Linked DNA regions of Ovis aries. The protein of the gene in region 2 interacts with the protein of the main gene of each other region in a biochemical or structural test. Links are inferred from orthologs where the notes say so. Each region holds a gene or a part of one and is shown on either strand. Other genes may lie near its edges. The genes, in order: BMP2, BMPR1B and GDF5.

Region 1 (3,198 bases), on a different chromosome or scaffold from region 2:
TGTGGTGGGACCCTTGGCCATATAAGCATACCCATCCAACCCTTCCTGGGGTCTGATTTCAACCCAGAACACAGAACCCCTGTCCTTTGTAAATGTTCATTCTGAGTGGCCTAATTTGACTTCATTTTGCTTGGGCTTCAGTCCAGTTGGCAGATGACCTTGTAGAAGCTGATGTTAGACACTTTCCCTTTCTAATTTTTTGGCATCATTGCCTCAGTTGCATGGGATATCATCTCTGAAACTTTATCTTAGGTTCCCCAGGTTTTGCCTACTTTGTAGCATTGGTTTTCTCTTAAATCATCCTGCTCCAAAGAAGTGCATGTACAATACTAAAACACTGATCAATTCCTAAGAATTAGCCCATGACCTGTTTGCAAATTTCCAACAGCTCCTTGCCTCTTCCTACCTCCCTCCAAAATGAGTAGCCTCAGAAGCAAAAATGAAGCAAATGTAAGGAAACTTTGTGAACACTGTACACATGCACCGTTTCTCTTGCAGGTTGGTCTTTATAGAATGAAATGAAAGAACTTTGATATTTATTGTCTGAAATGGGTTTAACATTTGGAGAAATGTGTTTAAACACATAACCTTAGAAAGAAAAACAAGCTGATGGAACAGAGAACTGGGGTAGGCAGAAAACAATTTTGCTGTGTGGGGGGCAAAGTTAGAAAATTGAGTCCTTCTGAGCATAAAGAGCTCCCAGGTGAGGTAAAAGTGAAATACAAATTGATTTCCAACTCTTCACGAGGGCCACTAGATATCAATTTTAAATATACATGATCACAATATCAATAATGAAGAAATCTTATATTTTATTTAATACTTTGGCCAGTCCAGCTCCTTTGAAGGGGTCATTAGTTTAGGAAAGAACAACAAACCATCATTCACTTTCCTGTAGGTTCATCGTTTTCCTAATTATTTCTATTGGTCTTGCTTTACTCTTTCTGAAAATTAAGGGTTAGGGGAAGGGTTTCTATATTAGATCAGTAATGTCTGGTTCTTATCCAAATATTCCACCTAATAAGGATGTAAATTCTCACGGACTGGACAACCACTCTGCAACATTCCTGAGAACTGAATAATATAATAATCTTGAAAGTCAGCAGAGTGGATTATCCACTTTTTTTTTTTTTTTCCTGGACTTGAACTTGTGACCTTAACAGTAGCACTGCAAAAAAAAGCAAATGTGCTAAGCACTTTGCCAGAGTAACCTTCCATGTAGACTTTTCATCTTAAATACACACAAATGAAAAACAACTACAATTTTTGGAAAATTATGTACAAACCCAATACTTCCTTTGATTACATATAAATACAAATTAGCTATTTTTCCTAAAAAGTGGTTATAATAGTAAATAAATACAAAATAAATCTGACCATTATACTTCATGTGCTGGGGCTGAACCCATATAAAATGTACAACTAAATACATTTTAAAATCTTTAAGGAATAATTCTCTGATTAAAATATTTGTTTTCCCAACTTCTTTTTGTAGATATAAATATATTTTCAAAATAGCTGTGTTTTTTTTCTCTCCATTCCATTCCATAAATAAAGTCTTCATTGGGAAATATTAAAGTGTCAACTTGATTTTTTTGCTGTTTTTCTAATATATATATATATTTATATTTTATTTTGCTGTGCTAACGACACCCACAACCCTCGACAACCATGTCCTGATAGTTCTTTAATACCACCTTCTCATTCTCATCAAGGTACAGCATGGAGATGGCGCTGAGCTCTGTTGGGACACAGCATGCCTTGGGAATCTTAGAGTTAACTGAGTTGACCAAAGTTTGGACAATGGCATGATTCGTGGAGTTCAGGTGATCAGCCAGGGGAAAAGGGCACTCCCCGTGGCAGTAAAAGGCATGATACCCAGGCGGCGCAACGATCCAGTCATTCCACCCCACATCACTGAAGTCCACGTATAAAGGGTGTCTCTTACAGCTGGACTTGAGGCGTTTCCGCTGTTTGTGTTTTGCTTGCCGCTTTTCTCTTCTGTGGAGAGGGTGTCCTTTCCCATCGTGGCCAAAAGTGACAAGCAAGGGCCTTATCTGTGACCAGCTGTGCTCATCTTGGTGCAAAGACCTGCTAATCCGCACATGCCTCTTGGAGGCCCCATGGCTGTCCTCTGGGTGGGCTACCTCCACCACGAAACCATGGTTGGTGAGCCCCTGGGCGGTCCACCTCATCACGGCGGGGGTGACATCGAAGCTCTCCCACCTACTGGCATTCTGAGTCACCAACCTGGTGTCCAAAAGTCTGGTCACAGGGAACTTGGAGTTAGCTGTGGCAGGTTTTATAATTTCATAAATATTAATTCGGTGATGGAAACTGCTATTGTTTTCCAAAGCTTCGGGCATATGTTTCCGAAAGACCTGAAGTTCTGCTGAGGTGATAAACTCCTCAGTGGGGATAGAAGTTAAATTAAAGAAGAATCGCCGGGTTGTTTTCCCACTCATTTCCGGCAGTTCTTCCAAAGATTCTAATTTGATATGAAAAAGTGGAAAAAAAGAAAAAGTGTTCAGTAAGGCAAGTAAGACAGTCTGATTGTATATAAGGATTTATAAACATCACTTCAGGGTTTGATTCAACCCATGTAACGTCTGCAACCAGAAAATTACAATTTCCCCTTTAGATAAAGAAACGATCCTCCCTTTTCCGTACATTTATGTCAATATACACACCAAGAAACAAAATTTCACAATTCATTGTCATTTTTTAAAAAACCTAATATGTGAATACTGCTTCCAGGTGGCTATAATAATGGGGGGAATGGTGAAGCATTTCTTTGGAATTCACAGACTTTAGGGCAAAAAAAAAAAAAAGTCAGCACTGTAGTTAGTAGAGGCCTAATGAGTGAGGATTTGAGGAAATTATTGCATTTCTTAAAAAGAAAAAGGCTTTAATGTCAATCCCTTAAGCGGTATTCTAAAACATTACTCTGCAATTTAGATGATTTACAAATCTCGATATACAGATTTCAGTTTCCTAATTAAAGACTTTGAAACTCAACATCAACGATGACATTTTGCAAAGTACACCCTACTATTTTACTCAAAAGTCAAGAAACAAAGGCATTTACAAGGGATCTGCTTCTTTGGAAACGTAAGGGTGGAACTAGGACACTGTAGTAGTTAAGGCTGGACAATTTCAAGAGAAGTTAACGTCCCAACTTTGTCTGTTCTCTAACCT
Region 2 (4,168 bases):
AAAATCAGAAGTAAATTTGAGATGTTTGTTTACTTAGCTTCTAGAAGTTAGGAAAAAAGGCTTGAAAGTGTATAATAATGTTTCCGTGTGCTTTTTATTCATTTTTTGAAAATTGTGTCATTTGGGCCCATTTTTTTCAAGGTTGGTGGGTTTTTGTGTTTGTGGCTTTTTTTTTTTTTTGCTGTTTTTCAACCTAAACTTGTCTTTGGTGCCGACAGAAGTTTCCTCTGAGAACAGTTTGTTTGTTAGACTTTTATTTCCTCTTCACAGAAAATAATCTTCTTAATATATTTTCAGGTATAGTGGAAGAATATCAGCTCCCCTATCATGACCTGGTGCCCAGTGACCCCTCTTACGAGGACATGAGAGAGATCGTGTGTATCAAGAAGCTGCGGCCCTCCTTCCCCAACCGGTGGAGCAGTGACGAGGTGAGGTTGGAGGTCACCGCGTGGCCGTGACCAGTGTCGAAACAGGCTTTTCTCCTTTTGCCGAAATTCCAAATATTTATTGCAGGAATTTGTCTTCTCTGTTGGGACGGTAACGATATGTCATGGCAGCAGTCTATATGGAGATAAGTGCAGTATATTACATTATCTGTTCCTTTCTCCTATTTGATTTTGCCGCTTCCAAAATACATTGAATGGGTCAGTGTTTAGCCGACATAACTGCTAACATTATTTCATTTATTGGTGATTCCCGACACTTGCATAGAAGCTGTTATTTCTCCGAATGTGGGTGTGTAAAACATCATGAATTTTCTCCATGACAGACTCAAATACAGCATTCTCTCATTTAATGAGAGAAGAGGTAGGCATCTGAAGAATTGGCTTTTTTGTACACAGAAGTGGTACAAGGTCACCTAGGTGAGATGCCTGACTGTGCGTGGATCTTCCTTAATACATGACGTGATGCTGTGGGAACAAACCCACACTCAGTCGGGCTCTGAGTGCGTCCTGGTGAAACCTCCACAGGTCTGAGAGGAGCTGACCGGAAGCCGGAAGTGAGCCGGCCAGCCTTGCCTCTCCTGCCCGCTCTGCACCTTGCTCACCCCTTTTCCATCCGCCCTGTGAAACTCTGGACCCCTTGGACCTGGAGTGTTTGGCGGCACTCGGAGTGCCACATTCAGAGAGGAGTTTGAAGCATCCCTCAAAAAAAAAAAAAAAAAATTCCAAGCCAGTGCAGACAAATGGACAGAACACTGTTTATAAACTAATTCTTGAGTGTTAATTGCATTTAAAAATAACTTTTGGTTCTTGGTTTTGTGGCCAGTTACTGAAATGCTAAATAATACACGTTTCCCAGTGAGCTGTGCAGAAAGCCTTATAAGATGCTGGAGTCTATATTATTTTGAAGGTGGTTATGGGCATTGATATTGCTCAGAGTCCCTTCACTGAGGATTTCTAATGAAGCAAAATAGTGCTTTTCAACAGGAAGGCCAATAATTGACGTGCCACAGGAGAATGCAGGAGAAACTTGTAGTGAGGCTGTGCACAGGTCATTAATCTTGTTAAATGGTATAGTGTGGTGCTGTTATTGTAGTAGACAGCAATGATTGAGGAATAACCATGTTTGTTTGACTAGTATGGAATTAGATAAAAGATTTAAGCTCATCGAGTGTTAGAGATAGTCTGGGAGTGTGCAGCGGAAAACAGGCTCCCTGGGTATTTTTGTATTTGTTTAATCTGACTTCAAAACACTCTTCTACGATCAGCAAAGCCACCTGCTTGCTCCTGTCACAAGGAAGACATGAAAATTTGTTTAAGTCCTTTAAGATTTGCATGAGAAAGGAATTTTTATGGAATTTTATGCCTACATGCTTTTAAGACTATCTTTTAAAAGTACATTCAAATTTCAGAAACCCAGAACTAGAAGCCAGTATCGAGTGCCAGCCTTGCAGATCATACGTTCCTCTCGTGTAAGTCCGGTTCTCCTTTTCCTTCCTGCAGTGTCTCAGGCAGATGGGGAAACTCATGACGGAATGCTGGGCTCACAATCCTGCCTCAAGACTGACAGCCCTACGGGTTAAGAAAACCCTTGCCAAAATGTCAGAGTCCCAGGACATTAAGCTCTGAGGCAAGAGTAAGTGTCTCTGGACAAAGCCAGTAGATATCCTCCTGTTTGTGGGCAGAGCAAAAGATGTTCCAGCAGCATCCACCGTCCCAGCCTCGAACATCCTCCTGCTCCCCAGAGGGTGTATTCTTACATCTCAGGGAGCAGCCTGGACAAACAGAAGTTTCCAGAAGCACGGATTCCTCATGTCTGTCTGTAGGCGGGAGAAACTGCCTGGGTAATTTGTTCAAGATATGATGCATGTTGCTTTCTAAGAAAGCCCGGTATTTTGGGATTGCCTTTTTTTTCCTCAAAAGATAATTTTGCCAAAATAAAACAAAAATGTAGATGTTTCAAGGTATATACTATTTCAGTTTAAAGAATGATAACTAAAGTTCTTCCCAGAAACTCTGCTGGAAGGTAAATTAAAATATGTATTTCCATTGGTAAAATGTTGTTGCACTCTACCAACCAAAAGACAATCGTTGAAGCTGGAGAACCGAATGGAACCCATCTTAAAAGCCCCCGACGTGTCCCTGCCTCCTCAGACCACTCTGGCCAGCCCTCCACTGGGGCAGCCGCAGCAATGTGAACGCATCTGGGGACCGGCACCGCCTGTGTGGGACCACCTCTGGGGATTCCCACCCATGACCTTCTGCAGCTTCAGAGGATGTGGGACAAATGAAGGTTTTACGAGACTCTACTAGAAGTAAATGTTAACACTGTTCTTCAGAACCACTTTGTATTTCTGATTCTGTTAGGTTTTTTCTTTCATTAAACACAAACAAAGCTTTTGTGTGTGTAGGAAGTTGAACCCCTGCAGGCTTTTGATCTCTCAAATGAAAGGATCAATATTAAGTAAAGTGGCTGTCAGCTGGGTCGAAGACAAGGTGCTTTAAAATAGAGATAATTTGCTCTTGAGCTGTAAGAAGATGGTGTCAAAAAGGTAGGCGGTGAGGATGGAGGTACACGTGGCTTGTGTCTTAGGTATGCGGAAGAGACCTCCTCGGCCGCATGAGGGGAAAAGTGTGCACAACTTACTGTGTACAAAGAGGGTTTCTTTTAGTTATTATCTGCCTTTTCTCTGTCTGAGTTTAGAGGAGAGGAAACGTATCAGGTTAATTGAACTAATTTTAATTTTAAATTAGGTGACTGTAACCTCCAAATGGAACAGCAGAGGAATGCTAGTGGAGACCACAAGATATGGCTGTCGGGACTGATTCTACAATAGGTACAGATGGAGGATGTAAGTCTTAGGTGATAGTGTCACGTCTTAGGAGTGCTGACTCAGTTTATTTTTATTTTCATGACGTTCAGCTCACTTTTTAATTTATTATTGTTTTCTTCTCTGCAGCGCTTGCGCAGAACATCTCTCCACCTGTTCAGTTATGTAGGCACACACACTTCTGAGCAGCAGGAGTCAAATCATTGACAGGGCCAGTATTCCTTAGCAACAGGAGCATAATAAAGGGTACAATTGTACACATCCCTCTCAACCTTATTCATTTACTTCCTGACTGTGGCTTTCTTATGCTGCTTAGAATTCTCTAGTGTGTAGCAAAGAATTGGGAAGCCCCTCTTCTTTGCCCTTAAAAAAAAAAAAAAAAACCCAAACAGCAATTCTGTTCTTTCCAGAATACTCCAGGGGGCAGTGTTTTATAACACATTTTCATTTCCCTACTTGTGGCTGAAGGATGGAGAGTTTTTGGAAATGTGACAGCTGCACGAAAAATGAGAAAATATTTTCCTGACTTCTGAAGTGAGCTTGCAGCTGGTGACTGGTTCCTCCAGACAGCATCCGAAGGCAGAGACCGACTGTGAGCTGTGCTTACCGTCTGGGAGAAGCAGTGTTCTGTATTCAGCATTCACTCCCCAGTGCTTCATAATCACAGCTCCTTTGTAAAAATATTTGCTTAATCCTTGAATATGAAAAAAAGTTTCTGCTTTTTCAAAGATTAAAAACAGTTGGTTCCAAATATAATTAGAATGCTGCTTTTACTGATATTAACATAACCTGAATAATAGTGTAAATGTTCCCTTTTCTTAGGTCAAATATTCTTTGCGATTGCTTAGGAGGAGTATCTGGCTAAAGCTAAGTGGGATAATCATCTGAGCCTAG
Region 3 (4,077 bases), on a different chromosome or scaffold from region 2:
AACCTGAGGCTCAGAGAAGTTAGGTAACTTGCTCAAGGTCACCCAGCTGGCAAAAAGCACGGTTGGAACTCCAGCCTAGAACTTGTTATGCCTGATCCTGAGCTGCTTCTACTGTACTATGCCTTAAAGAAGATCTTAGTGCTCTTGTTTCACAGATGAAGCACAGAGAGGGAGAGTGACTTGCCTAAGGTCACACAGCAAGTTAATGACCAAACTGGTCTATGATTCAATTTTCCTGGCTAGTCTAATGATTTGTGGTGTATGTTTCTTACTCTGCTTGGTATGTGAGTGTGTGTGTGTGAATGACAGTTTGTGTATATATATGTATGACTGGGTCCACATGTGAGTATGGAAAGTAATGCATATTTGAGTGACAGGTTATATGCATGTATGATTGGGCTTGTGTGACTATGTGAAGGGTATGTATGTATTGGGTTGGCCAAAAAGTTCTTTTGATTTCTTCTATTAAATGGTACAGAAAACCCAAAAAAAACTTTTTGGCCAACCCAATATATGTGTCTGTATATGTGTAAGAAAGTTCTGTGTGTATATGTCAGGCGTGCGTGTGCACATTGTGTATGTGTGTGTGTGAGTGTGATTCACCATGTATGTACAAACATAAGGCTCTGCATGTGTACAAGAAGCTCAGTGGTATGTCCAAATCAACATGCCCTCCTTCCTAAATACCAATTTGCCATTGGGAAGCACTCATAATATTGCTCTAGAAGGTGACTAATTAGGCCTTTAAACTCCCCATCTCTCCCCCTCCAAGCTCCCTTAGAGCTGGGGGGCACAAGGACTTACTTTATGATTCCCCGAGGGGTCACAGCTTTCTCTGGCTGGGCAGGCAGCCAGACCACCTCCCCCACCTCAGCAGACCCGTTGCCTCTGTGCCTCCCCCGCCCTCTGTCACTCCCCCACCGGCCAGCTCTAATGAGGAGCCTCTTCCCCTCTCTGACCCCTCCCCCACCCTGCCAGCCAAAGTCCCAAGATTCCCAGAACCAACACACACGAGCTGCCAGCACCCCTAGCCATCAGGTCAACCTCCTTCTTCACTCTTATGGATAAACTCAGGCCCTGAGAGGGGAAAGGACTTGCTGAAATCACATGGCAAGTTGAGGGGACAAGCCAAGACAGTGATGCTAGGAGGGCAGAAATGTGAAATGAGGGGAGCAGATTGTCTCCTGGGTTCATGATAAAAAGTGATCTGTGTCTAGGACAGGACATAAAGTTTTCATATTGGAAGGGCTCTCAGAAGTCACCCCATCCAACCTCCACAGAGTTGTACTGATGGGGAAACTGAGACCCCGGAGGGAGAAGGGGCTTTCCCAAGGTCACACTGTGAGTTAGAGCCCAGGTCTGTTGTTCACCCCACCCCATATATCTGAAGATAATTCCCTGACTCCAAGATGCCTCATTTCCTCCCTTCACCTGTCTTACCTTCTCTGCCCCCTTGCCTGAAGGGAAAGTGGCAGAACCATGGGCTTCTGAGATTCGTTTCTCTCTCTGCCATCCAAGAAAACCTACAACCCCGTGCAGCCTAGAAGTCTGACCAACTCAGTAAGAACAGAGTGTGGCCTGGTAATTAAGAGTTTAAGAGGCTGGTCCTCAATTCTGCCACCAACCGGCAGGGCTTGTCTCCTTCCCAGGCTTCAGGAACCCCCTCCACATCTTGCAGGAATTGCACTTGGGGATCCCCAGGTGCCATCTGTCTCTGACATGCCAGCAGCCTGGGACCTGGTGTGGGTGAGGTTAATCCCAGATACCGCCCCGGGCCAGAGGCACACACCGTCTCCCCCCAGTGCAGTGTCTGGCCTCTAAAACCCCCTCCATGCATGCAGATGTCCCTCCCTCTGAGCCGTGCCCCGGCCACCCCGCCCCCTCACCTTGCCCTTTGTCAATAAAGCTGGTGATGGTGTTGGCCAGGCCAGCCTCCAACTTCACGCTGCTGTTGCCTCCCTTTCTGTCAGCATCGGACAGCGTCCTGTACAGCGAAAGCATGTACTCGTGGGGCGTGATGGGGGGCGGGCGGAATGGCTCCTTGGGCTCACGCGGGGACCCAGGCTCCCTGGCCTTCTTCAGCAGGAAGGGACTGGGGACAGAGCCTGCCTTTGAGGGTGCCTTCCCCCCAGGAAGCTGTCCTTTTGGGGTCACCGTCCGCGTGGCTCCCTGCCTTGTCTGGGGAGGGTGTCCTGGCTTGGATTCAGGGCCACCCGATCTGGAGGGCAGCTTTTTGGGTTCATCCTTCTTGGGCTGTGTCAGGCCTCCTGTCTGCCCAGTGCCCCCCTTGGCCCTGGCATTGGTGGCCCCCCCACCGTAGCTGTGACCCCCTGGCCTGAAGATGTTCTGGGCCAAAGGGGGTCTCTCCTTGGCTTCTGCTTTGGCCAGTCCTGGCCTGGCCCCCTGGGGTCTCTGGCCCAAGTCAGGGGCACCCAACACAGTGCAGATGAATTCCAGGTCCAGCCAAGCCAGGTGCCAAAGCAAGAGTGTGAGGAGTTTGGGGAGTCTCATCCTCTGGCCAGCCGCTGAATGATGCCCAAGAGAACAGCGGCAGCAGCGAAGGTGCCTCTGGTTTGGCAGGAAAAACCATGAAAGGAGCGGACCCTCAAAAGCAGCGGCAGCAGCAGTAGCAGCAGAAGGAAGGGCTTTCTCCTCAGTCTGAGACTCTTGAAGTCTGCCGGGTGTGTGTTTGTATCCAGTCCCATAGTGGAAATGCTCTCCTATCCAGACGTGCACCGTCTCCAGTCAGCAGCTGAAAATAACTCGTTCTTGAAAGGAGAAAGCCGACCGCCCCCTTTCTCCTGCACAACTGACTGAGGGCCTGAAGGAGGCTTGTATAAGGCTCAGGGATTTTTCCAAGAAGGAAGAATGGCGTAATGCTGCTAACTTTTGAATCCTTTCCAGTGAAAATACACACACTCGCGCGCGCGCGCGCACACACACACACACACACACACACACACACAAGCCTGCAGGTGCTCAGAAAAATCTTTTACAAACCTGAACTCAGGAATTGGAAACGGAATTCCAACCCAAACCAATTTAATTACTCTCTGATGTCATGCTGTCTAAACTCATTTAAGTGCGATATATTTATGTGAAAAAAATCACCGCTGCCCTCTGAGGCCATGGCTCACGGGGGCTCTTGGCACAGAGCCCCGTGGGGGGATTCTAGAATGGAGCGGGGTGGTGGGGGGAGACTTTCAGTCCCATGGAGCAGACTCTGGGGTCTTCACCTCCATGTCACGGCCCACCCCACCTTCCCAAGGAGAGATGCTAGGAATAGATTCAAAGATCTTAAACCCCAGAGGCATGAGAGTGTGGGTTTTCAGTTAAGTCCTTGGGGTGTTTTTAAAGCAACCTTCACATCTAGTCTGGGACCTGTTCTGTTGTTGGTGTCGGGGGTAGGGGGGAGGGCAGCACAGATGGCAGAATTCACCCACAGTTTCTTTTATTTTAATAAACTTGTGGTGACCCAGAGCCAGAAAAATATCGGTACCCACTACACCCCTCCCCCAAATGCCATTGACTGAGCTCAGATGGTTTCTCCAGGCTTTGGGGGGCGCCCCCAAGCCCACTCCTTGGATGGAGACACGTCCAGAGTGTCTATACCTCACCGCCACCCCAGCAAAGACAGGCTCAGTTTTGTTGTGAGGGACTGGCTGAGTCCCAGATGTGGCAGCCCCAGCCTGGGGCAGCAGCGGCCTCTGCAGGAGGCAGAAAAAATGATTCCCACACAGTGCTTTTCTGGTATTAGTAGCTCTGGAAGAAGTCTGAACTCCAGCTGGCTCAAGCGGGGAAACTGTTCCCTTTACCTAGAACATCCGCCTTTTACTCCCACGACAGGAGGAACCTCTTATCCTGAGAGCTTCAGCTGAAAATTCACCTCCACCAGGAAGCCTTCCCAGATCCCCAAACAGAACCAATTACCCCTTTTTGAATATTTCACTGCAACAGACTGTGAGAGAAATAGAAGTGGCAGAAACAGTCATCAGGTAGGCTTCCTTCTTTCTTTAATTTTTATTTTTAGCCCTGCCTTGTGGCATGTGGGATCTCTGTTCCCCTACCAGGAATCAA

What was found.
Region 1: the proteins of BMPR1B (region 2) and BMP2 form a complex in vitro, tested with the Homo sapiens proteins (3 studies listed by BioGRID and IntAct, with this or other methods). The link is inferred for Ovis aries from reciprocal best matches to the Homo sapiens genes BMPR1B and BMP2.
Region 3: the proteins of BMPR1B (region 2) and GDF5 interact in a biophysical measurement, tested with the Homo sapiens proteins (3 studies listed by BioGRID and IntAct, with this or other methods). The link is inferred for Ovis aries from reciprocal best matches to the Homo sapiens genes BMPR1B and GDF5.

The regions. Positions count from the first base shown.
Region 1 is NC_056066.1:48,887,183-48,890,380, reverse strand, and holds the end of BMP2 (bone morphogenetic protein 2), read right to left. Parts: intron 2,489-3,198; coding exon 1,644-2,488; 3' UTR 520-1,643; downstream 1-519. UniProt on the Homo sapiens protein: Growth factor of the TGF-beta superfamily that plays essential roles in many developmental processes, including cardiogenesis, neurogenesis, and osteogenesis. Induces cartilage and bone formation.
Region 2 is NC_056059.1:30,030,161-30,034,328, reverse strand, and holds the end of BMPR1B (bone morphogenetic protein receptor type-1B), read left to right. Parts: intron 1-297; coding exon 298-428; intron 429-1,946; coding exon 1,947-2,072; 3' UTR 2,073-3,640; downstream 3,641-4,168. UniProt on the Homo sapiens protein: On ligand binding, forms a receptor complex consisting of two type II and two type I transmembrane serine/threonine kinases.
Region 3 is NC_056066.1:64,669,359-64,673,435, forward strand, and holds the start of GDF5 (growth/differentiation factor 5), read right to left. Parts: upstream 2,816-4,077; 5' UTR 2,512-2,815; coding exon 1,887-2,511; intron 1-1,886. UniProt on the Homo sapiens protein: Growth factor involved in bone and cartilage formation. During cartilage development regulates differentiation of chondrogenic tissue through two pathways.